Struthio camelus: one gene and its partners. The protein of the gene in region 1 purifies or fractionates together with the protein of each later gene. This does not show direct contact. Links are inferred from orthologs where the notes say so. Each region holds a gene or a part of one and is shown in the gene's direction. Other genes may lie near its edges. The genes, in order: RAF1, CCT5, TIMM50 and EMD.

The links.
Region 2: the proteins of RAF1 (region 1) and CCT5 purify together in Homo sapiens (affinity purification with mass spectrometry; 3 studies listed by BioGRID and IntAct, with this or other methods). This does not show direct contact. The link is inferred for Struthio camelus from reciprocal best matches to the Homo sapiens genes RAF1 and CCT5.
Region 3: the proteins of RAF1 (region 1) and TIMM50 purify together in Homo sapiens (affinity purification with mass spectrometry; 4 studies listed by BioGRID and IntAct, with this or other methods). This does not show direct contact. The link is inferred for Struthio camelus from reciprocal best matches to the Homo sapiens genes RAF1 and TIMM50.
Region 4: the proteins of RAF1 (region 1) and EMD purify together in Homo sapiens (affinity purification with mass spectrometry; 3 studies listed by BioGRID and IntAct, with this or other methods). This does not show direct contact. The link is inferred for Struthio camelus from reciprocal best matches to the Homo sapiens genes RAF1 and EMD.

What each region holds. Positions count from the first base shown.
Region 1 is NC_090955.1:19,911,353-19,919,030, forward strand, and holds the start of RAF1 (RAF proto-oncogene serine/threonine-protein kinase), read left to right. Parts: upstream 1-4,668; 5' UTR 4,669-4,688; intron 4,689-7,678. UniProt on the Homo sapiens protein: Serine/threonine-protein kinase that acts as a regulatory link between the membrane-associated Ras GTPases and the MAPK/ERK cascade, and this critical regulatory link functions as a switch determining cell fate decisions including proliferation, differentiation, apoptosis, survival and oncogenic transformation.
Region 2 is NC_090943.1:80,615,267-80,622,867, forward strand, and holds the start of CCT5 (T-complex protein 1 subunit epsilon), read left to right. Parts: upstream 1-4,592; 5' UTR 4,593-4,781; coding exon 4,782-4,886; intron 4,887-5,628; coding exon 5,629-5,689; intron 5,690-5,793; coding exon 5,794-5,958; intron 5,959-6,407; coding exon 6,408-6,606; intron 6,607-7,601. Other genes in the region: ATPSCKMT (ATP synthase subunit C lysine N-methyltransferase), read right to left, coding at 163-213, 1,416-1,553, 3,616-3,894. UniProt on the Homo sapiens protein: Component of the chaperonin-containing T-complex (TRiC), a molecular chaperone complex that assists the folding of actin, tubulin and other proteins upon ATP hydrolysis.
Region 3 is NC_090957.1:1,563,288-1,570,754, reverse strand, and holds the start of TIMM50 (mitochondrial import inner membrane translocase subunit TIM50), read left to right. Parts: upstream 1-4,458; 5' UTR 4,459-4,571; intron 4,572-4,645; 5' UTR 4,646-4,677; intron 4,678-5,093; 5' UTR 5,094-5,115; intron 5,116-5,645; 5' UTR 5,646-5,704; intron 5,705-5,954; coding exon 5,955-6,074; intron 6,075-6,161; coding exon 6,162-6,266; intron 6,267-6,352; coding exon 6,353-6,451; intron 6,452-6,528; coding exon 6,529-6,685; intron 6,686-6,783; coding exon 6,784-6,890; intron 6,891-7,467. UniProt on the Homo sapiens protein: Essential component of the TIM23 complex, a complex that mediates the translocation of transit peptide-containing proteins across the mitochondrial inner membrane. Has some phosphatase activity in vitro; however such activity may not be relevant in vivo.
Region 4 is NC_090979.1:105,485-113,381, reverse strand, and holds the start of EMD (emerin), read left to right. Parts: upstream 1-4,889; 5' UTR 4,890-4,962; intron 4,963-7,129; 5' UTR 7,130-7,132; coding exon 7,133-7,214; intron 7,215-7,363; coding exon 7,364-7,435; intron 7,436-7,863; coding exon 7,864-7,897. Other genes in the region: SYP (synaptophysin), read left to right, coding at 892-1,090, 1,605-1,796, 2,485-2,784. UniProt on the Homo sapiens protein: Stabilizes and promotes the formation of a nuclear actin cortical network. Stimulates actin polymerization in vitro by binding and stabilizing the pointed end of growing filaments. Inhibits beta-catenin activity by preventing its accumulation in the nucleus.

The sequences.
Region 1 (7,678 bases):
CAGGCACCCAATACGGCATCACCTGCTGCTGGCAGAACGATTCCCAGATGCCTTTCCTACTTCCTAATCAGTTTAGAAAATGAGAATACTGAATACCGTCTATGCGAAGGGAAAAAAAATGCTAATGTTGCATAAACAAACCAGTTTAAAATATGCCAAATGGCATCAAAAAAGAGAGCACCTTTTTCATGCCATGGAGAAAACTGAGAGATTATGTTCGTTGCTCTGTTCAAGATCTCTGCTTCACAGTTCTTTCATGCTGCATTCGCTGCTTTTGAAGAGACAGAGAAACCGCCTTATAGAAAAGTCCTTTTCAAGCAATTTCAGTTATATACACAGGATATAGTCAATGTATTGGCAATGACCATTGTTCTCGTTCTCTCAGACTGGAGTTTTGCTGTTGCAGTGTCCTTTGTTCATGAATAAGATCTTTTTTTTTTTTTTTTGTTTCTCTTGGCCTGTGCTCTTTCTTGGCAACAAACAATTAAGCCTGACAAAACTTAGATAAGTAACAAGGTGAAGTGCGAGGGCAGGAGTTGAGCATTTACCACCTAACTAAATGAACTTTATTCCCTGGAGGCTGCCGGAGGAGCAGTAGTTCAGTGAGCGAGACATGGGATGGGCAGTCTGAACACTGTATTCTAATCCTGGCTCTGCCGCTGACTCATCCTGTCACCTTTGGCAAATAACTGCCTTGATATATTAAGTTTTTTCTTATGTGAAGTGGTCACACTCAGTAGTAGGCACTAGTTACCTTATTTAGAGAGTCCAGAATAGTTAGGATGAATATTTTCTCAATCAGATGAACTGGCAATCCTTTATTTTCTTCCCTGCTACAGGAAGAAAGGGTCAGAAGTTTTAGAAAGGAAGAAATATGTTCAAGCGAGGTAATTCCGCTCTTTGGTATCAGAGATCAAATGTAGTCCAATTGCACACCATGTAGGAGAGACAGTCAGGTAAAAACCCAACCTGCTCACCAAAGGTTGAGAAGAAGATAGGGGCCTACACTTTTCCTGGAAAGAATAGATACTTGCAGTTATGTGTTTATCAAATGAACTATTATAATTTGGAAATTCTGACTTGTGAGAGTATTGTCAGCAGTGATCTGCCGCCAAGCAGATCACCATTCTTATTTATTCCACTAAAGTCAACCTTGCTGACACAACCCTTTTTAAAGGCAATCCATTTTGTGCATGCTTGTCCTGTTACTAGGTTACTAGAGAATGAACTATCTCTGTTTTTTTGTAAAACCCTGTACTTGCTTTTGGAAGTCTGGTCACACAGATCTCTACCCCAGACCTATTTGCATCTTTGATTTCTATTTACTTACCCCTAACCTTTCTCAGCTACTCTTCTTTGCGTTTTGATGAACTCTTCCTGCCTCTTTTCCCAAGCCCTGCTGTAAGATTAATAGAGGATTCAGACTATTTGGTTTTGACCGCTGCCAAGGTTTGTGCTCTCGGCAGCATGCTGATCGTGGCTGCAATTCTTGTCTTGCAGGGACTTGGGATCCAATTACATTTGCTGGCGTCAAGCAGACTCTACAGACCACTATGAAATACTGATTCTAAAAATAAAAAGGTGAAAAAGTGCAAAACCAAAGAGACCAGGATATTAAAATTTCAGGAAGATTGTAGGAAAGTTTGGAAGAGACACATAAACTATCTCAGGGGAAAACACTAACATATTGGGGGCGGTCTAAATTAAGCCTGTGGGTTTGCCTTTTTTAGCTCTGTCACCCATGTGACGCTCCAGTTGAGCCTTTGGGTGCAGGTATTTCAGCTAACACAAAGAACGCATTGGAGCCTTTGGGAAAGGCGAGTCACACTGACGGTTCGCAGCAGCTTATTGCCTTTGCTCTTGCTGAGGACGATTAACCCCAGGTGCACTTTGTTTCTGTTTGCACACATCCTCTCAGCTGAGGTCCTCTCTCAGCCTCTGGATTGCTCATTTGGACCAAAAACGCTGCTGACGGTGCCAGTGGGCTAGCTGGGTGCAGGAAGACTTTTCAGGCGCTGGTGAGTCTCAGTGGGGATTGGTGGGGGACTGCCATTTTCACAGCTTTTGCAGAAGTTTTGGTTGTACAGTGACATATGGAAGATTAACGGTTGTGCGAGTTGTCTGGCCTGCTTGGTCAGGATTAGATACTTGTTGGACCTGCTTCACAAGGTTCAAATATTTAGCCTGAGATCAGATAGAAAGGGACAAGTGCTATTTCTGAGAGGCATTTTGTGAATCTCATGTGAAGAGTTTGGTGGGAATTTTCTTATCTGTTGAGGAAAAATCGAATCATCTTTGAAATTGTCTTTTCCTGTTTAAACATTAAACCAGCACAAGAATTAACTTTTATTAAGTATAAAGTTGCATTTGTAAGTGCAACGTTTACTGTGACTCTCCTTTCCTGACCAGCCTCACTGTTCCCTTCCATTTTAGGATTTTAGACTGAACTGTTTGTAAAAAAACTTTCCAGTTTTAATCAAGATCTAATTGCAGAAGATTTTTTCCCTCCTTTTTGATGGTTTGAAATTAAAACCATGATAAGACTGTGAAACTGACGTTTAAAAGTAGATGTGTGTTTGCCTAACAGTGTATGATATATACACAATACTAGAGCTCCATGGCTACCCATGGAGTAATTGCAGTGATAGTGTATCGGCAGAGGTAGCTCCTTGGAAGTTTGCATATAGGTCAGAAGTTTCCAAATGACGATTAGGATTGTATGTATTCTGGATTGCTTTTTCAAAGTGTGCCACAATTTTGTCATGAGACTCATTAGCATTCATGAGAACTGCGAAGCCATCCTTCATACTAAACTGAAAGTTCAGCCCCGTGTACAGCATTTCATGTTGCTGAGATATTACAATGTCTAGTCTTAGCTCTTAATCCAGTTTCTTAATGCATTGCGGCAACGGGCTCTGTTGCAGTGGGTTAAGCAATAGGTTCAGACCTTACTTCCTTGGGCTCTTACATTATGCAACATTTTGATTTGACTTGGTTCTTGATCTGTCTTAAGTACAGTAGCTCACATTGTGTAAATTCTAAAGAAACCTAGAAGTGGACAGTTTTAAGTGGACAGTTTTAAGTGGACATTTAAAACTGCATGGGTGTTTCAGTAGGGATTCTTTCTAAACCTCTGCTGTCCCAAATGTGACCCTGAAAGCATTTCACACGCAGCATTTTCCGTAAATTATTTAGTTGGTTTTTAATAGTATAGCTAAAATGAAATGTTTTGAATAATTTAAAGTAATTTAAAAGGTTCAACCCAAATATTTAAAAAACTGTACTGCTAATTTACATTTCTTCATTCCCTTTATTCCCTCTGTAGAACAAATTTGGAACTATCTATTTTAATTTCCAGCAGAGGAAAAGTTAACAGAACCACTGGGCATTTGAAGTTCTTTTACAACGGCTCAGTTTGCTTGTGTTTGAAACAAAAACATGTGATAATAAACATGCAAAATACCCATTACTTATGCATGAAAATGGCAGATTCCTTTATAGCTGTCCTGAACACCCGCTTTCCAGTTTCATAGCTGCTCATGTGCACCGTACAATGAGCGATCCTGAGAGCACAGAGGAACTAAATACGTTGCTCTGTTGCGCTGTACTAGGCACTGTGTCGGTGAGCCTGGTTTAGTGTAACTCCAGGCAAAGTTTGTTTGAGGACTCACAGCCGTTATGAAATAGCCAGGAGGCTAAGCCAAGGTGAGAACCCCATTGTGGCAGGCGCTGCATGCGCACAGCAGAGGTTCACTTTCTTGCTGTCAGTCCTGCTGGGCTCCCGCAATACCTCATCTAACTGTTGTTTCAGCTCCAGAACAAATCCTTTGAAGCTTCTGTTTAATAAAGATGAGTGAATAGGCTTCATTTCTCATTAGAAGAAAACCACTAAAGATTTAAGTATTTAATTTTTTCCTAGATAGTCTGCAGTTTAATATATTTCAGCTATTTATCTGGAATTCATTTTAAGGAAATAACAGCCATTCATTTCCTTTGATAGAAAGAAAACTTCCAAGCATTTTGGTGACTGTCCACAGCTGGACAATTTCTGGCAGCAGGTCAAAAGTGGCAAGAAAAGCATTAATATCCTCCTTTATCAAAGCTTATGTCAGCCAGGAGGTTCAGCGCACAGGAAGGTCTGGAGTTTATGCCAGACTGTTGCTTTCTTCAGATCGCACAGAATTACAGCTTCTCTTAACGCACTCAGTCTGTGCTGTGCTTCCAGGTTCGTGTGAAGTCTCTTCTCTCATAACTCAGTAAAAGTGCATTATGCATATGGTATGAACCCCTATCCTACCTTTTCTTATAGCTGAAACAGAGGACAAGACAAAAGGTATGGGACATAAAATACCAATTCCTCTTTTCCAAAACAGGGAGCTGAGGCAGAGACCAATTTGCTCTAAGACACGCAGTTCCCATTAGCGGTGAGGAAACCAAACAGGCTCACTGAAGCACACAGGAAGCTCTGAGTAGCACAGAGGAGGAGACAAGCTTTTGTACCAGAAGGATCCAGTTTAACTGTAGGAGAAAATGATGTCAAAATATAGTGACATTTAGGAGAGGGAGAAAGATAATGTTCTGAAGAAAATTCAAGATCTGCAAAAAAGAGTCCTGGAAACCTGAAAGACGCTTAGCACAGTCCCAGATCTGTTTCACTGTGCTGAGGAAATCAAGCAATAGAAATAAAGGTAGGATTTTTTTTTATCTTCTTTCTGATGCACCTTCTAAGCAGAGAGCAAACGTGTTAAAAGACCCGGGCAAAGTCTGGGTACTGTGTTGTGCCTTCCTCATGCCTCTGAGAAGGCAAACAGTGATCATGGGGCAGGCGCTGGGCAATGCACAAACGTCTCTTGGAGACGTTTGACATACATGTTACAAGTCTCAGGGCTTAGATGTTTAACTCTAAAGCCCCCACCATGAGAAAGGACAACAGACGTGGTATTAGCTCCTTGCAGCCCATGTGGAGAAGCACATCCTAATAATAATTTCACTTTGCTGGGGCTTGTAAATTAACAAGTGATTCAGCTTCTGAATAAATCTGGTGGATGTCCAGCAAAGGGAATTTTATCAGTCCACGTAGATGGCAAGAGAAACATCCTTGAACCAAGACAACCAACTTGCCGAATTTGAATCACTTGCTTGAAAGGCTGGGCACGCTGCAGTTTCAAAGAAATGGTGTGGAAATGCTTAACAGATACAAGTGTACTTTTTTCCTTTTCAAAAAATTGACTATCTTTGTTGGTATTTTATGCATGCGCAGACACACACACATACACACAAAATCACCTTATGGCAGAGACCCAGCATGGAAATTTACAGATCAAATAAACTTTTGGCAAACTAACAAGCAGAAGAAATTGGGATTTCATACTTGAAAATGTCAAGCAGGCATGGTTATCTATACCAGTTGGATGTATAGTTTTAGTTACTTGTGCTCTCAGAGGCTTTAAAATCTAGCTTACTAACTTTATATGCTTCATGTAATTCCACCTGTTATTCTGTATTTTTTCTTTTGGTTGTATGTAACCATAAATATTTCACAGAGCTCAGCTAAGTTTTTGTATTCCTAATTTCAAAGAGTTGTCTAATATAACCCAGGTGTCTTCAACGTTTTCACTATTGTCAGCAGCAGGTGCTAGCCAAAGTCGCAAGGAGAACAGTTTAAAGGCTTGCATAGACTGGAGTAAGCTACTGTAAACCTTTGTTTATTGGACTGTCATAGAAATATTAGTAATTCAAAAAGATACGCGGTCTTGAGCAGTGTTTAGTGACATCTACACTAACCCTGCCACTTTTACCTGTTGCTAGATTTTAGGCCCACATAACCAGTATAACAGAGTTAGGACTAGCCACTCTGAGATTCAGTTCACAACTCACTTTTGCTAGTTTCTGAAATCATTAATTGAGGTAGCAGCAGAGTTCATTGTGTATGGCGCTCTTTATCCTTTGCCTTATTTTAAAGAATGATTGCCGGAGCAGGTAGAATGTGTTGCATTTGCAATACTGTGGCTGGAAAGCGGCCAGAACAATCAAGGAGCAAAACTTTTAGGCAATATTCCATATCCACAATAAAACTCAAGTCTCTAGCAAAGTTATCTAAGGAATCCAGGCTGAGAGCAACAAATGAAAAAGGAATGATACAGATAAGACCATGCTATAAGAAAAAAAGGACCAGCATTTCATGCTACTTTGGACAAAGTTTCCTGCACAGTTATATCTCTGGCTCTGCTTTTTATTTCTCAGCAAAATTTGATTCAAAATACTGCCAACTTCAGTAACTAGGTTCAAGTTCTCATTCTCTGGTAACCTGGGTAAATCAAACTAATCTTACAGTTTTTAAGTGCTATGTGAAATGAGGTGCTGTCCTACAGCCAAAGAGCAAAATATCATGTATGCCTCCGCTCAGTATATGAATTAATCAGTGTCTCAGCTACGGTATATTTTGCTGAATATTGTTCCACGCTTCTTTAAGAACAAGAAGACTACGCTTATTGTGTTTTGAATGTTAAGGGTACATTTCAAGAAAATCGAGTTGCTCTATGAGCAGCGAAACTAAAGATGCTTCACTACAGATTTATATCCTCTCTTCCATAAAGTGTCTATAATAAATCCAGATTGTACTATGTTTCTTATTCTGATGTCACCTCCATACGGCAAAAATACTCACATGCTGTGTCTAATTCAGCTTTAGGTGCATAGTGACTGGCCAGGGTGCTATTTTAAAACAGTATTTACAATGGCTGATTTCTGAGTTTGGTCGTCTTTTGCTTCACTAGGGGTATGAATATGGTTCCTTTTTCTGTCTTCAATTGCTGACTTCCAGGAAACTTATAGGAATTTAATTATTTCTGAGACTTTGGCTCATGTGTCAAATATGTTTGAAATTTGGAGCAAGAGATCGACCGAGCCATTACCTAAGCTTCCTTTCCTTAGGAAAGCAAACTAATCAAGATTGTTCCATGAAAATCCCCACACCCAGATGACTGGAAGTGCATTTTTTAGCAAACATAGACCTATGCCAAACAATAGTCATCAGAGCCACTTTGCCCAGTGTCCTTTTTTTAGGCAGTAATACATGTTTGTTTTTGAGAATGAAACCCATACTGTTTGTCATCTGGTTCAAGCTTATAAGTTTTTAATAGTACCATCAAGTCATATTCCTAACTTCAATTCAACTGAATCCAAACCATAAGCTTATAACGGATTATCGTTAATCAGGCTGCAGGAGAAAAAAAAGTATAACCAAATGGAAAGAAGAAAGTAGTAAGATTTTTTCCAGAATGTTAGGTTACTCTACTTTTTCCCTCTAAACTCCTATACTATACTGTATTTCGTTTTATTGGCAGATATCCCATACTTCTTCAAAATCTGAAGCAAAAAGAATGGGATGAGTATTCTGGACGTTCAGAGTATGTTAGATTGATATTGTTGGCTACCTACTCTGCATACCATGATTAAGTCAATGCTCCCTCAGATATTAGCTAGTCTGGACTATGTTGTTGTAGTTCGTATTGTTGCTACGTACTTAATTTTTGAAGTCTGTATGTTCTCTTTTTTCTCTGTTTTTCACATGTTCCTATAGTGTGGATTGTGCAGTCTGATGGGGTCCTCCGTGCTCCTTGCAGGACTTCTGTCTGGGTGGGGGGACAGGAACATATCGATTGTGCTTTTGCCCCCC
Region 2 (7,601 bases), on another chromosome or scaffold:
TTTCATCATGAACATTAGTAGGCAACAATGGAATATATCAAAATATTAGCAACTACCTTTGACATTCTGTAGGTTGATTCATTTTTTTTAAAATTAGTCTACTAACACTGAATGCCTTGATATTAAAGCAGTTAGATAATGGAAAAAAAAAGTAAAACTCACCATTTGAGGTACCCCAAAGACAACAACATTCGTGTAATGAGAAAAAGAAACCTATAAAAAAAAAGTGAGTGTAAGTCTTTTAAGACAATTGGCATATATAATAACTGGAAGATTTGGTACCATTCTTTCCCAAAGGCTTTTAGCTACATTCCTTTCAAACTAATCCTTGGGCTTAAGACCAAAAACAAGAAAGGAGATCCCATATCATGTCAGCATCACAAATTCCCCTATGCAAGACACCTTACATTGCTGAGTAGCAGAAAGCTTTTACTAGCTGGTCAAAAATCTGGCATGAATTCCAGTAGCGCACATGCAAAAAAATCAATTCAGACACACACTCCCCAATTCAGAAGATACCTACATGGTTTTACTTATGGCTAAGTTTCTTTTACAACCCTCACATACGTTAAAATGAGGAATGTTTTAGGATTACTCCCCTTTTGTTAAGGGCCGGCTAGACTTCAAACTTCCTAGATGTTCCAATGGCTAGGTTATCCCTAGTTCTGTCAGAAGTTTTCCATGCTTGTCTCTGAACAAAGATTAGAAACAGTATATTCACACTCTGCCTGCCAAGTTTCTCGTATCCACTTTCTTGTATCCACGTTGCCCATTACAATGTGTCAGTGTTTTAAAAAACAAAACAAAACAAAAAAAAAACCCTTCAATAGAACTAGCAGGGCAGAGCCAGGCATAAATACAACAGAAAAATAGTCTCATCAAAGCAGCAGTTTGATTGAAATGAGTGAACACGTATGTCAAAAAAATGTTACATGTATGCAATAGTGATCTTAAAGCAATTCTCAAAAATTAAGAGTTGCACAGTTACAAAAGAACACACATTTAATGAAACGTCAAATGAGACCATGATCTTGCACATTAGCACGAGGTGAATAAAAGAGTCTTCTTACTGACTTCAAAGAATCAGCTTTCAGTGAAGCTAGATACTAAAGTGACCCACATCATTCACCAAACAGAAAGGCACGAAGTAGTATGCGCAAGACGCCTTTGCCATACTGAGAGCAGTCTCTAAGGACAGCACGTGTCACTGAAGCACAAAACCAACAAAGCTGCTTATTGTGCTGTGAGCCTACTTTCTGCGGATGTTAAGTACTTTACTCAAGGCCCAAGGAAGCAAGTATCTGGTGGCTGAACGCATTCTAGTGGTTTTAGGGAATTATCTCCGAATTAGAGAAAACTCCATACTCTCCTCACAAATCCCAATTTCATTTATTCTTACGCGTTTCACCACCTACCTTCCATAAGTCTGAAATATAAAATTTGGTGTTCCGATGTACCCCATCTCTCCAGGCACGGTATCTGGAGTACCAGACTAACCAGGGATTTAATTCATAACCAACAGCTTTGAATCCCCTTTTTGCAGCAGCTATTACCTACAAAAAAAAATAAAGAAAACCTTCATTCTAGAAGGGAAGGAATGCTAAAAGATGTATTAGTCTCAATAGGATAAAGAAGATAATTTTATTTACAATAGAAATCAACAAAATGCACTTTGCAAGACACACAGATTTGCATTCCAGACACACTGGTAGTACAAAATCATGAACAAAAGCTCATACAAACTGCATTTTACTACTCTGACTAGTCATATTGAAATTAATAGATTTATTCAAAGGAACAAAACAAACCACTTAAATCTGCACAGGACTAAGCTGTAAACTTGCAGTATGTCTGTAATTTATACAAAAGTTAAATTTAACATACTCATGACATTACCTTGCAGATGATCATTGAGACAATCAAAGCACACAAGCAGAAACGCCTAGACATTCAAAATGAAAGGACCTGGCTTATTTCAAACACATTACCAGGTAGGCATTTGAGATACCTCTGATTCAGAGGCAAAATGACCTACTAATAGATAGAGTATGAAAATAAACAGTTGACCTACCTAAAAACAAATATATCACAATAGAGCTTTCTTCTAATGCTACACTTCATATATACTTTTAAATAGCAACAGGTAATTCAGATAATACAAGTTGATTTTCAAATGCACCCATTTAAATTAAGATCCTGGTATTTAGAATTGTTAACCTGTACAGCAACTGCCTCCCAGCTACAGATTAATATCCGATTATTTTTCAGAACTTTTTCAATGAAAACACAAAACAAAAAGGCACAAGTTAGTAGAAACATTAAAATCTAGCTTTAAGTCATTTGAAAGGTTACTGTCAAGTATCATTCAGGAAAAGTATGACTAATTACGAATTACAGAATAGGTAAGGTAGAGTCAAGGAGGAAGTAAATATTTCTTAATAAAATTTGCAGACAGTATCTATGGCACAGTGTGTTTCACATTAATTATTAGGAAAAGGGCTTTTTCCATCATGCACTCAGCCTTTGTAAACATGCTAGAAAAATCCAACATTTTGACCATGTTTGTAAATAAAGATATGTTTGCATTTACTTACAGATTATACCTGAAAAAGCACTAAACATTCAAAAGTATCAGAACACAAAACTCAACTTAATTTGAGGACAAACACTCAAGGGCAACACGAAGCATCACTGCATGCAATTTTAAGCACCTGGCTCTCAAGAGTAGCGTTCAGTCTGCATTTAGTCACCCATATATAAAATCAGTACCTAGTCAAAACCAGGTGGGTCAGGTACTTGAGCTCAATCACAGAACAGCTTGCTTTACTTGGAAGAAAGCCTTAATATTTCTGCATAAAAACTGACATTGAGAAACAGCTGCTGTAATACTGAAAATATATGAGCCCAGCAAAACTGTCTCTGCTATATCATTTTCACATGGAAGCATCCTTCAGCTAAGTTCTGTACTGAAAGTCTGATCACGCCCAGTACAGAAGCCTTTCCATACCTCCAGTAATTCTCATTCCTCTTTAAAATGATTCTCATTTTACTATACCCATTTTAAAATGAGGCAGCCTGCACTGCACAAAGCACATAAGGTATGAAAACTACAGTTTTAAGGATAGAGTTATTTTTCTTTTCTAACCCATTGTTTGTTTCTCACTCTCTCATGCTTTTATCACCTTTATGCAACAAGCACAGAGCAGCAGCTCCAAAAGTTGCCAGGCATGATGTCTCCCTGCACTGTTTCAAGCTCTGTTTAAACCTGCAGCCTTACATACTGCGGCTACAAAAACACACGGAACCACAGCTCTTAAGGAGCTAGTACTTTGAGCACACCTTTCTAGGTGAATGCACACTGTACAGTCCCCTCCAACCAAGAGGATGAGGTTAGGGTTTTGCACGATACCTTGTCAAGCTGAAGGCAAGCCTGGGACAAAAACATTCACTGCTTACGCTAATCAGATATAAACTTGTCTTGGCTTTGCGCATTTACATAATATTAAATGCCAGAGACAAGACATTCATAAATACGAGAAGACACACTACACTATAGAAACCCTTTGCCCCTCTTTTGGGGGATTATATAGAAGGAAGCTGATCTCCATAACTTACAACACGGCCATCCCCACTCCCAATGTCAACCAGGGGGCCGCTTCTGTTCCCTAACATTTTCAGCACGTTGTCAATCTGAGTTGAAGTTGCGGGAACAAAAGGCAGGCAAACTCTTCTCAGCGCTGGCATGACAAACGGGGTGACAACGGCATACAAGGCCACCAAGGTCCCGCCGACGCCACCAGTAACCAGCAGCCCCCAGCTCCTCCTTCTGGAGCTGCCCTCAGAGCCCACGGGCAGGCCTGGCGGGGGGCCCTCCTGCCGCAGCGCTTCCGGCATCGCACCTGAGGACAGACATTACCGAAGAGTATTTCCTCACGCAAATCGCTTTATTATACGTTTGTTTAACAGACAAGGCAGCAGCAGGTCTTATATCCCGTTAACTGATTCTTAGGCCTTACGGAGAAGTTAGGATGCTGCTTTTGAGGAGATAAACTACTAGATTATTTAATAATAATAATTAGGGGGGGAGGGAAGAAGGGCAGTTATTATTGGTGGTTCCCGCCCGGGGCAGGAGCCGTGAAGGGAGCGGCGGCTCCCACCCGACGCCGCCGACCCGCCCGCTCTTCGGCTCGAGCGAACCTTCTCGAAACGCGGCCGGGCCGGGCCGGGCCGGGCCGGGCCGGGCGCGACTCTCCCGCCCGCAGGAGGAGCCCGGCAGCACCCCCGCCGCCCGCTCGGGCGCCACGGCGCAGGCGCGGCCGCCGAACCCACCTTCTCCCCCCTCCCCGCCGCTAACGGAAAACCTCACGCCAGACCGGCTGCAGGCTTTGACCCGGAAATACTTATACTGGAGGACGATACCACTTAAATCAATTGGGGGGGGGAAGCTTTTTGATTGCGCATCGTAAGGAGAGGTTTGGCGCTGCAGAGGTAGGGTACACCGCCAGGGCGCTTCCTCCCCGTATTCTACCGAATGGTATCTCCCAGCTGCCCGGGGCCGCGCCGCCAGCGCCGCACGGCCCCCACCCGCCTCAGGCGCTTCCAGAAAGGTCCGCCGCCGGCGCCAGATAGGTTGCGCTTGTGAAAGGTGTCGCGGCGGTGTCGGCTGCGCAGGCGCGGGGCGAGGGGGCGGGCGGGCGGGCGGGCGTGCTGCGTCAGCGCGGCCTGGGCGCGGCGGCGGCGGTGCGGTTCGGCTCGTGCTGGCTGGGCGGGCAGGAGCCATCATGTCGGCTATGGGGACCTTGGCGTTTGATGAGTATGGGCGGCCTTTCCTCATCCTCAAGGACCAGGAGCGCAAGACGCGCCTCATGGGGCTCGAGGCGCTCAAGGTGGGTGTGCGAGCGGGCGCTCCTCCGTCCGTGAGCCTTGGTGGGGAGGGCCGTGCCGCCGTTATGGCCGTGCGGCAGTGGAGGGGAGCCGTTAGGCCTCGTGGCGGGGGATGGAGCCTGCTGAGGCGTGGCGCCTCTGCCTGTGCACCCCGCTCCCCTCCCTGGCGCCGGGACCGCAGTCTAGCCCGGGCCCGGCCGCGTGGGAGGGAGGGAGGGAGAAGGCATCGGCCCTGGGGCCGGGAATCCGCAGTCCTCCACGGGCCGGGAGGCTCCTCGTGGGGCGCCGTTCTTCTGAAGGCTAGGGCCGGTGTTGCTCCGAAGAAAGGCCACGGCTAAACCCGGCCCGCAGGCAGCGGGTCAGGCCATGCCGGCCTCAGAAGCACTGTGTGCGGGTGTGCGGTAAAATAATGACAGAGAAGTACAGCAAAACTACTCTTACCTCTTCCCCCCCCCCCCCCCCGTGATATTTGCATCTGTTACTGCTGCTTTAAACGCGCCAAGAAATCGTTCTAGCTGCTCCTCTACTATTGCAAGCTTTAACTGTGTAAGTGAAGAAACGGCATGGGAGATGTTTCTGGCATAAAGGCAGTGTGCATGTTTCAATTTGTTCTTACTTAAAATTGGCTGCTTCTAGTTGAATTGTAATACCTAATTTTCAGTTAGCTCTTTTTCTGTATTAGCTTAATGCTGCGATTCTGGGAGTGTTAATAATGATGTAACTTACTGCTTCTTTGTTTTGTAGTCTCACATAATGGCAGCAAAAGCTGTGGCAAATACTCTGAGAACATCTCTTGGGCCCAATGGTAATGATGAAATAATTTTAAAAATTCTTTTAGTAATTTTTTAAGTTGTTGGGGTTTGTTTGTTTGTTTTTTGGCTTTTCCCTCATGCTGTGAATTTTTTTTAGGTTTAGATAAAATGATGGTAGACAAGGATGGTGAGGTGACTGTGACAAATGATGGTGCTACTATTCTAAACATGATGGATGTGGATCACCAGATAGCTAAACTTATGGTAGAGCTCTCTAAATCTCAAGATGATGAGATTGGGGATGGAACTACGGGAGTTGTTGGTAAGAAAACATTTTAAACTTAGCGTAACTTTTCCAGTTTTAAAATCAAGTTTCTTGAACTAATTTCAGAGATGGTGATGTTTGATTGTAAATATACCATTTCTGTAAGGTATTTTTAAATATTTAAAAGGTTCCTAATACAGGAATTAACAACAATACTGAAGTGTTAATCAGAAAGATGTTTTGTGTGTTTTTAACGTGTGGGTGCATTTGAAGTTAGTGTTGAAAGTCCTCCCTCTACTTTCAGAGGTTTTTCTTGCATGACTTTCTTCTTGTCCCACCTTGATCCTTGTGCTTCTTCTTAGACTAAAATAATACAGTCTTCTTTCTACAAAGATTGAAAGAGAACAGAAACAAAATCTGAAGGTGTAATTTTTTTCTTTTAATATGTTAAAAATGATGTCTCAATCTGTGGAAGTGTAAACCTTATTTTAAATTTTGTTTTATAGTTCTGGCTGGAGCATTGTTGGAACAGGCAGAGCAGCTACTAGATCGTGGTATTCACCCTATCAGAATTGCAGATGGTTATGAACAGGCAGCTCGCATTGCTATTGAACATCTAGACAAAATCAGTGACAGCTTTCCCGTTGATCCACAGAATACTGAGCCTCTGATCCAGACAGCAAAGACAACTCTAGGCTCTAAAGTGTAAGTTCATGAAAAGTTCACAACAAGAGTTGCCTTTTTCCTTAAAAACACTTTGAATTGAAAGGAGAAATCCTGATTTTTACTTGATATTTTGATGGATTGTGATATTATTTATGTTATTGGAGTGGCTCTTAAATGCTCTTTCATATTTACTTGACTTTTTTTGGCCAATTTCTCAATGGACTCTTTATCTTTTTTTTTCTTAATTGGTTATGTCTGTTGACTCTCACTACTAAAAACTACATGCTCAGAGTTTTTTAAAAGACAGTATAGCTGAAAGAAGTGCAAATTATTTTTTTTTCTTCAAGTAGATACAAATTCAGATTGCAGATGTAAAACTCTGGTTTCCATTTCCATTGTAGCATTTTTCACTGTAGAGTTAGCCAGCTTCCCAGTGGCTCAGTCCATCTCACCTTGGGTGACATAGAGTAACTTCAGAATTATGCTTCCATAAGAGCATGTTTTTAGTTGGCTGATCCTGTAGTAGTGATTTAATCTTCTTTTGCTCAGTATGTATAGTCCCTTGTAAGTATTAAGACTGTTACAAACATCTTGTATCAGAGACTTTGTAAGAGTACTTTCAAGACAAATTCTAGCACACTTGCTGCACGATAAAGAAGCATTAATCTCATTTCCTGGTTAGTGTTTTTGGGGAGGAGGGGGTTGTTTTTTGTCTGTTACTCTTTGGACATTAGGCAACTTTCTTGGATGCTACTGTGGAGCTTGGATGTAAGGAAGCAAGAAGATGAGATGGCATAAAGCAGCACAGTAGAAAAACGGAAGTCTCCCATTTTTAGTTGCTATGGAACACAAGTTTTCGCCAATTGCAGTTTCTGTTGCGTAGCATCTCATGATAGACACTCAAATATGTAGGGAGGTAGCATGAGAATGCCATTTTCTATCTCTTCTCTATTTCCCATCCTGTTCTCCTTGCTCTTTCTCAACCCATTGTGTGGTTTTGATCGTATCACCTGTACAGAAATTATGGAAAGTTG
Region 3 (7,467 bases), on another chromosome or scaffold:
TAAGTGGGCTCGCCGTGGGGCTGGGGGCTCCTGGGGCCCCCGTGAAGCGGGCTCGTGGTGGACCAGGGGGCTCCCGTGACCCCAGGGCCCCCGTTAAGCGGGCTTGTGGCAGAACGGGGGGCTCCCGAGGCCCCCGTTAAGTGGGCTCGCCATGGGGCGGGGGACTCCCGTGACCCCGGGGCCCCCGTTAAGCGGGCTCGTGGCGGACCGGGGGGCTCCCGTGACCCCGGGGCCCCCGTTAAGCGGGCTCGTGGCGGAACGGGGGGCTCCCGGGGCCCCCATTAAGCGGGCTCGCCATGGGGCGGGGGACTCCCGTGACCCCGGGAACCCTGTTAAGCGGGCTCGTGGCGGGGCGAGGGGGCTCCCGTGACCCTGGGACCCCCGTTAAGCAGGCTCGCGGCGGGGTGGGAGGCTCCCGTGACCCCGGGGCTCCCGTTAAGCGGGCTCACCGTGGGCCGGGGGGCTCCCGTGACCCCGGGACCCCCGTTAAGCGGGCTCGCGGCGGGGTGGGGGGCTCCCGTGACCCCGGGGCCCCCGTTAAGCGGGCTCGTGGCGGACCGGGGGGCTCCCGGGGCCCCCGTTAAGCGGGCTCGCCGTGGGCCGGGGGGCTCCCGCGGCCCCGGGGCCCCCGTTAAGCGGGCTCGCCCTGGGGCGGGGGGCTCCCGTGACCCCGGGGCCCCCGTTAAGCGGGCTCGCCGTGGGCCGGGGGGCTCCCGCGGCCCCGGGGCCCCCGTTAAGCGGGCTCGCCCTGGGGCGGGGGGCTCCCGTGACCCCGGGACCGCCGCGAAGTGGGCTCGCCGTGGGCCAGGGGGCTCCCGCGACCCCGGGGCCCTCCCCCGCCTGGTCTCCTCGGCCGGTTGCGGTAGCCCCGCCCCCTCCCGTGGCCCCGCCCCCGCCGGCCCACGCGCCGCGCACGTGTAGGCGCCCTCTCTCGCCCTTCCTCTGCTTCCGCCTCCGCCCGCTCCTCCCATTGGCTCGACGCGCCTCGGCACCGCCCCCTCCTCCGCCTCACCGAGTCGCCATTGGCCCCCTTTCGGGAGCGCGCCGATTGGCCCGCTCCCCCCTTCAAACCCCGCCCCACCCGCTTTCTCCCACCTCTCCCTCCCCGTCCGCCACCGCTCATTGGCCGGCCGCCCCGACGGGGGCGGGGCCGCCCGCCTTCCCCCCGCGGCGATTGGCCGCGGCGGCCGCGCCTGCGCCTTGGGTCTGGCGGTGCGGGAAGATGGCGGCGGCGGCGGCGGCGGGGCGGGCGCTGGCGGCCGGCGGGGTCCGCGCCGCCCTCGGGGGCTGCCGCGGCTGCCGGGCCCCCCCCCCCGCGCCGGCCCGCGCCTCCGGCACCGCCCCCGGCTCCGCCCCCGGCAGCGGCAGCGGCACCGAGGCGGTGCTGCAGGAGCGGCTGCGGCAGCACCAGGTGGGCGGGGCCGGGGGCGGGGCGAGCTTGGGCCTGGGGGGTGTTGGGGGGGGGTCTGAGGGGGTGAGGAGGGGGGAAAGAGGGGCCATGGGGCGTTTGGGGGTCTGGGGGGGTCAGGAGGGGTCGTGGGGGGTGTTTGGGGGGGTCTGAGGGGGTGAGGAGGGGGGAAAGAGGGGCCATGGGGCGTTTGGGGGTCTGGGGGGGTCAGGAGGGGGCGTGGGGGGGTCTGAGGGGGTGAGGAGGGGGGAAAGAGGGGCCATGGGGCGTTTGGGGGTCTGGGGGGGTCAAGAGGGGTCGTGGGGGGTGTTTGGGGGGGGTCTGAGGGGGTGAGGAGGAGGGAAAGAGGGGCCATGGGGTGTTTGGGGGTCTGGGGGGGGTCAGGAGGGGTCGTGGGGGGTGTTGGGGGGGTCTGAGGGGGTGAGGAGGGGGGAAAGAGGGGCCATGGGGTGTTTGGGGGTCTGGGGGGGTCAGGAGGGGTCGTGGGGGGGGTCTGAGGGGGTGAGGAGGGGGGAAAGAGGGGCCATGGGGCGTTTGGGGGTCTGGGGGGGTCAGGAGGGGTCGTGGGGGGTGTTTGGGGGGGTCTGAGGGGGTGAGGAGGGGGGAAAGAGGGGCCATGGGGTGTTTGGGGGTCTGGGGGGGTCAGGAGGGGTCGTGGGGGGTGTTTGGGGGGGTCTGAGGGGGTGAGGAGGGGGGAAAGAGGGGCCATGGGGCGTTTGGGGTTGGGGGGGTCAAGAGGGGTCGTGGGGGTGTTTGGGGGGGTGAGGAGGGGGGAAAGAGGGGCCATGTGGCGTTTGGGGGTCTGGGGGGGTCAAGAGGGGGGTCGTGGGGGGTGTTTGGGGGGGGGGTCTGAGGGGATGAGGAGGGGGGAAAGAGGGGCCATGGGGCGTTTGGGGGACTGGGGGGGTCAGGAGGGGGTGTGGGGGGTGTTTGGGGGGGTCTGAGGGGGTGTGGGGGGTGTTGGGGGGGTCTGAGGGGGTGAGGAGGGGGGAAAGAGGGGCCATGGGGCGTTTGGGGGTCTGGGGGGGTCAGGAGGGGTCGTGGGGGGTGTTTGGGGGGGGTCTGAGGGGGTGAGGAGGGGGGAAAGAGGGGCCATGGGGCGTTTGGGGTTGGGGGGGTCAAGAGGGGTCGTGGGGGTGTTTGGGGGGGTGAGGAGGGGGGAAAGAGGGGCCATGGGGCGTTTGGGGTTGGGGGGGTCAAGAGGGGTCGTGGGGGTGTTTGGGGGGGTGAGGAGGGGGGAAAGAGGGGCCATGGGGCGTTTGGGGGTCTGGGGGGGTCAAGAGGGGTGTCGTGGGGGGTGTTTGGGGGGGGGTCTGAGGGGGTGAGGAGGGGGGAAAGAGGGGCCATGGGGCGTTTGGGGGTCTGGGGGGGTCAGGAGGGGTCGTGGGGGGTGTTTGGGGGGGGTCTGAGGGGGTGAGGAGGGGGGAAAGAGGGGCCATGTGGCGTTTGGGGGTTGGGCGGGGTCAGGAGGGGGTCTGGGGGGTATTTGGGGGGTCAAGAGGAGGGAAAGAGAGGCCATGGGGCGTTTGGGGGTCTGGGGGGGTCAAGAGGGGGCCTAGGAGGTATTTGAGGGGGCTGGAGGGGTCGTGGGGGGGCAGAGGGGGTCAAGAGGGGGCCTAGGGGCATTTAGGGGGGCTGGGGGGTCCGAGGGGGGCTGGGGGGTATTTAGGGGGTCTGTAGGAGGCAGATGGGGTAAAGAGGGGCCTGGGGACATCTGAGGGGTCAAGGGGGGCCTGAGGGGTATTTAGGAGAGGGCTGAGGGGAGGCAGGTGGGGTAAAGGGGGGCCCTGGAGGTATTTAGGGGGCCTGGGGGTTATTGGGGGGGGGTCTCGGGGGGGAGGTCAAAGGGAGTCTGAGGGGAGGCCTAGGGGCATTTGGGGGGGTGGTAGGGTCAAGGAGGGGGCCTGAGGGCTGTCTTGGGGGAGCAGAGGAGGGTCAAGGGGGCCCTGGAGGCATCTGGGGGGGGTCAAGGGGGCCTGAGGGGTATCTGGGGGGGGACAGGAGCTAAAGGGGGGGCTTGGGGGCGCTTGGGGCATCTGGGGGGCAGGTAGGATCAAGAAGGAGCCTGGGGAGGGGGTAGGTAGGGTTTGGGGGGGGGGACAAAAACTTGTGCCTGGGGGACATGAGGGGCAGGTAGGGTCAAGGGGGGGCAGGTGGCTGGGGGGGGTGGCAGATTTGGGTTTGGGGGGGGGATAGTTTGGGGGATATGGGGACAAATTAGGGTCTGGAGGGAGCAGAGGCTTGGCCGGCAGATGGAGCCGTTGCCGGGGCTCCTTCAACGTCCCCAGGTGTCCCCACGGCTCCCGGGGTGTCCCCAGCCCTCGCTGGGGCTCGTGGGCCGCTCCCGGATGGCCGTGAGCGTCCCCAGATGTCCCCAGGGCTCGCCGGCTGTCCCCGGCTGTCCCCAAAGCTGTCCCCGGGGCTCCCTGGCTGTCCCCGGCCATCCCCAGGGCTCGCCGGCTGTCCCCGGCTGTCCCCAAAGCTCCCCGGCTGTCCCCGGGGCTCCTTGGGTGTCCCCAGAGCTCCTTGGCCAGCCTTGATGGTCCCTGGCTGTCCCCGGGGCTCTGGTGACGTCCCCGGGGCTCCCTGGCTGTCCCTGGCCATCCCCAGGGCTCGCCGGCTGTCCCCAAAGCTCCCCGGCTGTCCCCGGGGTTCCTTGGATGTCCCCAGAGCTCCTTGGCCAGCCTTGATGGTCCCTGGCTGTCCCCGGGGCTCCGGCGACGTCCCCAGGGGCTCGCTGGCTGTCCCCGGCCGTCCCCAGGGCTCGCCGGCTGTCCCCGGCTGTCCCCAAAGCTCCCTGGCTGTCCCCGGGGCTCCTTGGATGTCCCCAGAGCTCCTTGACCAGCCTTGATGGTCCCTGGCTGTCCCCGGGGCTCCGGTGACGTCCCCAGGGCTCGCCGGCTGTCCCCAAAGCTCCCCGGCTGTCCCCGGGGCCCCTTGGGTGTCCCCAGAGCTCCTTGGCCAGCCTTGATGGTCCCTGGCTGTCCCCGGGGCTCCGGCGACGTCCCCGACCCTCCCCGGCAGGCGGCGGCGGGGGGCACCCCGGGCCCCGACGAGGGGCAGGAGCGGAAGCGGGAGACGGCGGCCAACACGCGGCGGCTGCTGCTGCGCCTGGCCGGGCTGCTGGGCGCCGGCGCCGGCGCCACCGTCCTCTACGTCTTCGGTGAGTCCCCGGGCGGGCGCCGTCCCCGTCCCCGTCGCCGTCCCGCTCACTGCCCCGCTCTCCCCTCCCCGCAGGCAGCAACGCGGTGGACGAGCACGGCGCCAAGGTAATTACCCCCTTCTTCGTTAGCACCCGGCGGCTCCCCCCCCCCCCCACCACCACCGCTTTCTCCAGCGTCACCTTTCCCCCCCACCCCGGCGCTTCCGGACGGGGCGTTTCGGCCGGAAAAAGTCCCGTTTCGGAGGTGTCGGAGGGGTTTTGATATGCGGACCCCCCCCCCCCCCCCGGCGCGCCATCCCCGGCCGAGGTGCCAATTGCCCCCCGCCGCCGCCGGGACATCAAACGAGCCGCGGCGGAAACGAAGGCGCCAAATCGCCGCCGTGCCGGAGCCCCCCGCGGGCGCCCGAACGCCGCCAGGCCGCTGGGGTGGCGTGGGAAGAGGTTGGGGGGGGGGGGCGCTACCCTTTTATTCCCCCCCACCCTTTTTTTTTTTTTTTTATCTTCCCCCCCACCTCCCCGCAGATCCCCGACGAGTTCGACGCCGGTGAGTCCTCGCGCTCGCGTGAACCCCAGGAGGGCTCAGCGCGGGGCGGCCGGGCTTGAGCGGGAGAAAATTCGGGGTCCGGGTGCCGCCCGCGGCGTTCCCGACGCCGGGGGGGAGGGGGGGCCAAACGGAGCCTTTTCGGCCCCGTTTTAACGCTCGCGCTGCCCCCCCCCCCCCCCAAAGCGGCTTTTTTTGGTAACCGCTTTGGAGGTTCCCGGAGGGGAGCAACGCGCTGGGCGGGAGGGGAAAGGGAAGCGGGGGCAGAAGGAAATTCCCCGCCATGAAGGTGCGATTCCCCCCCGCTGGGGGGGTAAAACGGAGAAAAACGAGGTGTTTTAGGCCCCAAAAGGGTTGGTTTTTTATTTACAATGCAAACGCAGAGGGGAAGCTGGTGGGGGGGGGGTCTTGCATTAGGAGGAGGCTTGCAGGGGGGGTTAAACGCCACCATGGTGGTGGGAAGAGGGGGGGGGGTCTCGGGGACGACCCCCCTCCCCGCACCTCGGGGACCCGTCCTCACGGCCGCTTCGCAGACCCCGTGCTGATCCAGCAGATCCGCAGGACCTACAAGTACTTCAAGGACTACCGGCAGGTAGGGCACGGGGACGTCCCCGGCGCGGGGGCTCGTCCCCGTGCCGAGGGGTCTGTGTCCCCCCCACCCACGCCCCGGCGGGGTTCGTCCCCGCGACGGGGGTCTTTGTCCCCGCGACGGGGGTCTTTGTCCCCGCGACGGGTTGTCTTTGTCCCCGCCATAAGGGACCTTGCAACGAGGGGTTTGTCCCCACCGGGGCAGCTCCGTCCCCGCGGCCGGGGACGGTCCCCTCACCCCGCGCGTCCCGCAGATGATCATCGAGCCCACCAGCCCCAAGCTGCTGCCGGACCCGCTGCGCGAGCCCTACTACCAGCCGCCCTACACCCTCGTCATCGAGCTCACCGACGTGCTGCTGCACCCCGAGTGGTCGGTGAGTCCCCGCCGGTGGCCGTCCCCCTGCGCCCGGCCCGGCCCGGGGGACGCCCGGCCGGTCCCTTACCCCGCTCCTCGTCCCCAGCTCGTCACCGGTTGGCGCTTCAAGAAGCGTCCGGGCATCGAGAGCCTCTTCCAGCAGCTGGCCCCGCTCTACGAGATCGTCGTCTTCACCTCGGAGACCGGCATGGTGAGGGGGACGGCGGTGGCGGCGGCCCCGGGGTGGGGGGACACACAACGCGGCCGCCCCGCTGACCCCCTCCTCGCCTCCCCCAGACCGCCTTCCCCCTCATCGACAGCGTCGACCCGCACGGCTTCGTCTCCTACCGCCTCTTCCGCGACGCCACCCGCTACATGGACGGGCACCACGTGAAGGTAGCGGGCGCGCGGGGCCGGCGGCGGCGGGCCGACGCGCCGGCCCCGCGCCCACCCCTCTTCTTCCTCGCCGCCAGGACATCTCCTGCCTCAACAGAGACCCCGCCAAGGTGGTGGTGGTGGACTGCCGCAAGGAGGCCTTCTGCCTGCAGCCCTACAACGGGCTGGCGCTGGCCCGCTGGGACGGCAACTCCGAGGACCGCACCCTCTACGACCTCGCCGCCTTCCTCAAGAGTAAGACGGCGGGGTCGGGGGGCCGCGCGCGGGACCCCCCCGTCCGGAGCCCGGGGGCCACCCGCTCTCGCCCGCCTGACGCCCGCGCGTCCCCGCAGCCATCGCCCTCAGCGGCGTCGAGGACGTCCGCACCGTGCTGGAGAATTACTCCCTGGAGGACGACCCGCTGGCGGCCTTCAAGCGGCGTCAGTCGCAGCTGGAGCAGGTAGGGACGGGGTCGCCGGCGTCCCGCCGTCGACTGCGTCTCGGTGTCCCCCCGCTGCCGTTATCCCTGTCTCGGTGTCCCACCGCCAACCGCGTCTCGGTGTCTCCCCGCTGCCATTATCCCTGTCTCGGTGTCCCACCGCCACCGCTGACCGCGTCTCGGTGTCCCCCGCTGCCATTATCCCTGTCTCGGTGTCCCACCGCCGACCGAGTCTTGGTGTCTCCCCGCTGCCATTATCCCTGTCTCGGTGTCCCACCGCCGACTGCGTCTCGGTGTCCCCTGCTGCCGTTATCCCTGTCTCGGTGTCCCACCGCCGTCGCCGACCGCGTCTCGGTGTCCCCCGCTGCCGTTATCCCTGTCTCGGTGTCCCACTGCTGCCGTCAGCCGCGTCCCGGCGTCCCACCACCGTCATTACCTGCGTCCCAGCATCCCGTCACCGTTATCCACGTCCCGGTGTCCCGTCACTGTTAACTGCGTCCCAGTGTCCCACCACCGTCATTACCTGTGTCCCAGCATCCCGTCACCGTTATCCACGTCCCGGTGTCCCACCACCATTGTTACCTGCGTCCCAGCATCC
Region 4 (7,897 bases), on another chromosome or scaffold:
CGCGGGCCCCTGCGCCCCCTCGGGGGGCACTGCACCCCCCTACGAACCACCCGCAGGGATGCTGCGGGCCCTTACGTGCCATCTGGGAGGTGCTGCGGGCCCATACGTGCCATCTGGGAGGTACCACAGACCCACAGATGCCATCTGGAATGATGCTCCAGGTCCATATAGAGCGCTGGGGGGATGCTCCAGACCCATAGGCACCAACTGCGGTAGCTCCTAGTGCCCATATGGGGCACTGAGCAGATGCTGCAGACCTATATGTACCAACTGGGGACGCTACGGTCCCATATGGGGCAGTAGGGGGATGCTGCAGACCTATACGACCCAGCCTGGCATGCTATAGACCTGTATGTGTTCTCTGGGGTGATCCTGCAGGTCTGTATGCACCAGTCTGAGATGCTCTGGGTCCATAGGGACCATTTGGGGAGAAGCTCCAGGCCCATAGGGACCAGCCAGGGATGCTCCAGACCCACATGGACCATGTGCGGAAATGGACCATTTGGGGAGAAGCTCCAGACCCATAGGGACCATTTGGGGAGAAGCTCCAGGCCCATAGGGACCAGCCAGGGATGCTCCAGACCCATAGGGACCATTTGGGGAGAAGCTCCAGGCCCATAGGGACCAGCCAGGGATGCTCCAGACCCATAGGGACCATTTGGGGAGAAGCTCCAGGCCCATAGGGACCAGCCAGGGATGCTCCAGACCCATAGGGACCATTTGGGGAGAAGCTCCAGGCCCATAGGGACCATGTGGGGAGACGCTACGTGCAGTGGGGAGGATGCTGGTCCCCGTGTCCCGCCCCAGGCCGCGTGGCGGGTGCCCTGGGGGTGCCCTGGGGGCGGGGGGCCGGTGGCGGGGGCCGGCGCTAGCCCGCTGCGGGTGCCGCAGGCTGCACCAGGTGTACTTCGTGGCCCCCACGTGCCAGGGCGCGGGGCAGGAGAAGGTCTTCCTGGTGGGCGACTACTCATCGGCGGCCGAGTTCTTCGTCACCGTGGCCGTCTTCGCCTTCCTCTACGCCCTGGGCGCCCTCGGCGTCTACCTCTTCCTCGACAGCAAGTACCGGGAGAACAACAAAGGGCCCGTCATCGTGAGTGGGGGCACCGGGAGGGTGGGGGACGTGGGGGGGACACGGCATGGGGGGCTTGGGGCATGGGGGGACAAGACACGGGGGGCTTGGGGACATGGGCATGGGGGCCACAGGGATGGGGGGGCTTGGGGATATGGGACAAGACATGGGGGGCTTGGGGACGTGGACATGGGGGGACGACACTGGGGGGCTTGGGGACATGGAAGATGTGGGGCAGGACATGGGGATGGGGCATGGGAACATGGACAAGAGATGGGCACAGGGACATGGGGATGGGGGGCAGAAGGATATGGGGGACATGGGGCAGCTGGGCACGAGGATGTGGGGACAGGGCAAGGGGGAGTGAAGAGGACATGACATGGGGGACAGGACGTGGGGGCACGGGGACGTGGGGGCACGGGGACGTGGGGGTGGGGGGGACATGACACGGGGGAGGTGGGACAGGACGTGGGACGGGGGGAGGTGGGACACGGGGACACGGGGGGCCGGTGGTGAGGGGCGCCCCCGCCGGCAGGACCTGGTGGCCACGGGGGTGCTGGCCTTCCTGTGGCTGGTGAGCTCCTGCGCCTGGGCCAAGGCGCTGGCCGACGTCAAGGAGGCGACGGCGCCCGCCGGCGTCCTGGCCGAGCTGCCGGGCTGCCAGCGCCCCGGCGCCCGCTGCCGCGGCCTGCGCGCCCCGCTCACCTCCGGCCTCAACACCTCCGTGGTGAGCCCCTATAGCCCCCTATAGCGCCCCTCGAGCCCCCCTACGGACCCCTCTCGTCCCCTATGGCCCTGTTGGGCTGCCAGCGTCCTGCTCCCCTCTGGACTCAACACCTCCGTGGTGAGCCCCTATAGCCCCCTATAGCGCCCCTCAAGCCCCCTACGGACCCCTATAACCCCCCCATGGGCCCCTACGGACCCCTATAGCCCCCTATGGCCCTGCTGGGTTGCCAGTGCCCCGCTCACCTCTGGCTCACCTCCGTGTTGAGCCCCTACGGACCCCTATGGTGCCCCTATAGCCCACTATGGTGCCACCGGGCTCCCCTGGGACCTATAGCCCCCCCCCCAAGCCCCCCACAGTGCTCCCGGGGGACCTATAGCACCCCTATGGTCCCTCATGGTGGTCCCCTGGGATCCTTGCAGCCTCCCCCCCACACACTGTAGCACCCTTGGGACCTATGGCCCCCACAGTGCTCCCCCAGGGTCTATAACACCCTTGGAGCCCCCCCATAGAGCTCCCCCCAGGACCTATAGCACCCCTATAGGCCCCCATAGCAGTGCTCCAGGACCTATAGCACCCCTAGAGCTCCTGCAGAGCCCCAGGACCTATAGCAGCCCCGCAGCCCCCCCCACCCCCTCCAGCCCCCCCGGTGCCCCATAGGCGGCCCCCTATAGCGCGGCCCCCCCCGCAGGTGTTCGGCTTCCTCAACCTGGTGCTGTGGACGGGCAACATCTGGTTCGTGTTCAAGGAGACGGGCTGGGGGGGCCCCTGGGGCCGCGGCCCCCCCGCGGGGGCCCCCGAGAAGCAGGCGGCCCCCGAGGGCTACGGCCCCGGCGGGGGGGGCTACGGGCAGCCCGAGGGCGGCTACGGGCAGCCCGGCGGCTACCAGCCCGACTACGGCCAGGGGGGCTACGGCCCGCCGGGGGGGTACGGCCAGCCCGAGGGGGGCTACGGCCAGGGCGCCCCCACCTCCTTCGCCAACCAGATGTAGGGTGAGTGGGGCTGCGGGGGGGGGCGCTGGGGTGCCCCACGTAGGGCTCTGGGGGGCAGTCGGGGGTGCCTGGGGGGGCTGGGGTGCCCCCATGGGGGTTTAGGGGGCAGTGGGGGGAGCTGGGGTGCTCCACGTAGGGGTCTGGGTGCCCCCATGGGGGTTTAGAGGGCATTGGGGGGGGCTGGGGTGCCCCACATAGGGGTCTGGGTGCCCCCATGGGGGTTTAGAGGGCATTGGGGGGGGCTGGGGTGCCCCACATAGGGGTCTGGGTGCCCCCATGGGGGTTTAGGGGGCATTGGGGGGAGCTGGGGTGCCCTACATAGGGGTCTGGGTGCCCCCATGGGGGTTTAGGGGGCATTGGGGGGAGGTGGGGTGCCCTACATAGGGGTCTGGGTGCCCCCATGGGGGTTTAGGGGGCAGTGGGGGGGGCAGGGGTGCCCCACGTAGGGGTCTGGGTGCCCCCATGGGGGTTTAGGGGGCGGGGGGGGCAGGGGTGCCCCACATAGGGCTCTGGGGGGCAGTCGGGGGTGCCTGGGGGGGCTGGGGTGCCCCCATGGGGGTTTAGGGGGCAGTGGGGGGGGCTGGGGTGCCCCACATAGGGGTCGGGGGTGCCCCCATGGGGGTTTAGGGGGCAGTGGGGGGGGCTGGGGTGCCCCACGTAGGGGTCTGGGTGCCCCCATGGGGGTTTAGGGGGCAGTGGGGGGAGCTGGGGTGCCCCACATAGGGCTCTGGGGGGCAGTCGGGGGTGCCTGGGGGGGCTGGGGTGCCCCCATGGGGGTTTAGGGGGCATTGGGGGGGGCTGGGGTGCACCACATAGGGGTCTGGGTGCCCCCATGGGGGTTTAGGGGGCAGTGGGGGGGGCTGGGGTGCCCCACGTAGGGCTCTGGGGGGCAGTCGGGGGTGCCTGGGGGGGCTGGGGTGCCCCCATGGGGGTTTAGGGGGCATTGGGGGGGGCTGGGGTGCACCACATAGGGGTCTGGGTGCCCCCATGGGGGTTTAGGGGACAGTGGGGGGGGCTGGGGTGCCCCACATAGGGGTCTTGGGGACAGTGGGGGGGGCTGGGGTGCCCCACATAGGGGTCGGGGGTGCCCCATGGGGGTTGGGGTGCCATGGGGGGCAGCCTTGGGGGGCTGGGGTGGCGTCGTGGGTCTGGGGTGCCCCACGGGGGTCGGGGTGCCGCCGTGGGTCGGGGTGCCACTGACGGCCTCTCTCCCGCAGGTCCCCCCCCGCAGCAGGGGGCGCCGAGCCCAGGAGCTGCCCTGGGGGGCAGGGGGCGGGGCCTATGGGGGCGGGGTGGCCCCGCCCCCTCTGTCTGCACCTATGGTGTCTGTGGGGCCTGCCCCATAGCCTGCCCCACAGCCCCGCGGCCTGCCCCATAGCCCTGTCCTTAGCCCCACGGCCTGCCCCATAGCCCTGCCCCATAGCCCTACAGCCTGCCCCCTTGCCCTGTGCCATAGCCTCGTGGCCGGCCCCACAACCCTGCCCCACGGCCTGCCCTGTGGCCTGCCCCGTAGCCGTGCCCCACGGCCTGCCCCACGGCCCCGTGGCCTGCCGCGCAGCCCTGCCCCACGGCCGTGCCGCCCCCCCTGCCCCCCAGCCCGGTGTCTGTCTTGTGCCGTGATCGTGACGTCTGGGGCCCCGGCGCCCCCCGGCCCGCCGTGGGGCAGGGTGGGGGGGGTGGGGGGGGGCGCGACCCGCCGGCCCCACGGAGGGAATAAACGAGGAGAAACGAGCCCGGCCCGCGTCCTCCTTGGGGGGGGTCTGCCCCACACGTGTGGGGCTGGGCTGGGGGGGGGGGCCGGGGCCCCCGCCCGGCAGGAGCCCAGGCGTCCGGGAGCCTCCCGTCCTCCTCACCCCGAATGGGCCCAGGCGTCCGGGCCCTGCCCTATATATGTGGGGGAGAGGGGGCTGCCCCATAGCGCCGGGTGGGCCCGGAGGGGCGTGGCCCCGCTGAGAGCACGCCCCTTGGTGGGCTTGGCCACGCCCCCGATAGGTTTGGCCCCGCCCCCGGCGTCCTGTCCGCGGCCTGGCGGGCTGACCCCGCCCCCCGCTCGAGCTGACCCCGCCCCCCGCTCGAGCTGACCCCGCCCCCGCTCGAGCTGGCCCCGCCCCCCGCGCGCTGGCCCCGCCCCCCTGAGTCACTTCCCTTCGCGCGCGCGGCCTGGACGCAGGAGCGAGGTACCGGGACCCCCGAGCGGCGCCGGGCCCGGCCCTCGGGGGGCCCCACGGCCCTGCCCCATAGCCCCGGGGGGCCCCGTCCCCCCACGGCCCTGCCCCATAGCCCCGGGGGCCCTGTCCCCCCACGGCCCTGCCCCATAGCCCCGGGGAGCCCCACGGCCCTGCCCCATAGCCCCGGGGGCCCCTGTCCCCCCACGGCCCTGCCCCATAGCCCCAGGGAGCCCCACGGCCCTGCCCCATAGCCCCGGGGGCCCTGTCCCCCCACGGCCCTGCCCCATAGCCCCGGGGAGCCCCACGGCCCTGCCCCATAGCCCCGGGGGGCCCTGTCCCCCCACGGCCCTGCCCCATAGCCCGGGGGGCCCCACGGCCCTGCCCCATAGCCCCGGGGGCCCCTGTCCCCCCACTGCCCTGCCCCATAGCCCCGGGGAGCCCCACGGCCCTGCCCCATAGCCCCGGGGGCCCCTGTCCCCCCACGGCCCTGCCCCATAGCCCCGGGGAGCCCCACGGCCCTGCCCCATAGCTCCGGGGGCCCCTGTCCCCCCACGGCCCTGCCCCATAGCCCCGGGGAGCCCCACGGCCCTGCCCCATAGCCCCGGGGGCCCCTGTCCCCCCACGGCCCTGCCCCATAGCCCCGGGGAGCCCCACGGCCCTGTCCCATAGCCCCGGGGGCCCCTGTCCCCCCACGGCCCTGCCCCATAGCCCCGGGGAGCCCCACGGCCCTGCCCCGTAGCCCCGGGGGCCCCTGTCCCCCCACGGCCCTGCCCCATAGCCCCGGGGAGCCCCACGGCCCTGCCCCATAGCCCCGGGGGCCCCTGTCCCCCCACTGCCCTGCCCCATAGCCCCGGGGGGGCCCATGTCTCCCCATGTCCCCTCATGTCCCTGCCCCATAGCCCCGGGTGGCCCCGTGGCCCTGTCCCATAGCTCCAGGGTGGCCCCATGTCCCCTCATGTCCCTGCCCCATAGCCCCGAGGGGGGCCTGTGTCCCCTCATGTCCCTGCCCCATAGCTGCAGCATGGCCCCCTCTCCCCCCACGTCCCCCACATCCCTGCCCCATAGCCCCGGGGGGGCCCCTGTCCCTGTCCCCTTCCCTGTCCCGCCAGCCGCCCCCCGTCCCCGTCCCGCAGCCTGCTCCGCGCCCGTCCCCCCGCGTGTCCCCGTGTCCCCCCACATCCCCCCCGCGTGTCCCCCCATCCCCGTGTCCCCCCACGTCCCCCCGGTGTCCCCACATCTCCATGTCCCCCCACGTCCCCCTGCGCGTCCCCACATCCCCGTGTCCCCCCATCCCCGTGTCCCCCTCGTGGGTCACCTCGTGTGTCCCTACGTCCCCATGTCCTTACATACCTGTGTCCCCCCGCATGTCCCCTCCGCGTGTCCCCACATCCATGTGTCCCCCGCCCCCGTGTCCCCCCACGTGTCCCCCCATGTGTCCCCACATCCCCGTGTCCCCCCGCGTCCCCCCGTCCCCGTGTCCCCCCGCGTCCCCACATCCCCGTGTCCCCCCGCGTGTCCCCCCGCGTGTCCCCCACGTCCCCGTGTCCCCCCGCGTGTCCCCACATCCCCGTGTCCCCCCGCATGTCCCCCACGTCCCCGTGTCCCCCCGCGTGTCCCCACATCCCCTTATCCCCCCGCGTGTCCCCCCGTCCCCGTGTCCCCCCGCGTGTCCCCCCACGTCCCCGTGTCCCCCCGCGTGTCCCCACATCCCCGTATCCCCCCGTGTGTCCCCCCGCGTCCCCGTGTCCCCCCGCGTGTCCCCCCGTGTGTCCCCCACGTCCCCGTGTCCCCCCGCGTGTCCCCACGTCCCCGTGTCCCCCCGCGTCCCCCGTCCCCGTGTCCCCCCGTGTCCCCACATCCCCTTATCCCCCCGCGTGTCCCCACATCCCCGTGTCCCCCCACGTGTCCCCCACGTCCCCGTGTCCCCCCACGTGTCCCCCCGTCCCCGTGTCCCCCCGCGTGTCCCCCGCGTCCCCGTGTCCCCCCGCGTGTCCCCCCGCGTGTCCCCCCACGTCCCCGTGTCCCCCCGCGTGTCCCCACATCCCCGTATCCCCCCGTGTGTCCCCCCGCGTCCCCGTGTCCCCCTGCGTGTCCCCCCGTGTGTCCCCCACGTCCCCGTGTCCCCCCGTGTGTCCCCCACGTCCCCGTGTCCCCCCACGTCCCCGTGTCCCCCCAGGCCATGCAGAGCTACCGGGGCCTCACGGACAAGGAGCTGCTGGAGAAGCTCAAGAGCTGCCGCATCCCGCACGGCCCCGTCGTGGGTGCGGGCCGGGGCGCGGGGGGCGCGGGGTGGGGGGGCCGGGCGTCCGGGGGGGGGGCCGGGGGGCTCCTGCGATGGGGCTCCTGGCCGTGGGGGGTGCCGTGGGGCAGGGGGTCCCAGGGGTCCTGACCCCCCGCCCCGGCCCCCCAGGCTCCACGCGGAAGCTGTACGAGAAGAAGGTCTACGAGTACGAGACGCAGCGGAGCCGCGTGGGGGGCGGCGGTGAGTGGGGGGGTCCTGGGGGGCTGGGGCAACCGGGGGGGGGCGTGGGGCACCCTGGGGGGCTCCGGGAGCCCAGGGGGGCAGTGGGGTCCTGGGGCGCTGGGGGACCGCAGGGGGGTAACTGGGGTCTTGGGGGGTCCCAGGGGGCTGGGGGGGCCACGGAGAGGTGGGGAGGGACCCCAGGGAGCTGTGGGGGGGCCATGGGGGGGCTCCGGGACCCCAGGGAGGCAGTGGGGTCCCAGGGGGGCAACTGGGGTCTTGGGGGGGCCACAGGGAGCCAGAGGATCCTGGGGGGACTGTGCAGGTCCCTGGGGGGTGTTGGGGGGCAGGGGGTCCTGAGGGGCCCCTGGGGGGCCAAAGGGACCCCGGGGGGGCAATGGGGCTCCCGGGGGGACACCACTCCCCCCAGTGACGCTGTGTCCCCCCAGACCCCGGCTCCTCGGAGACCTTCATGCAGGAGTC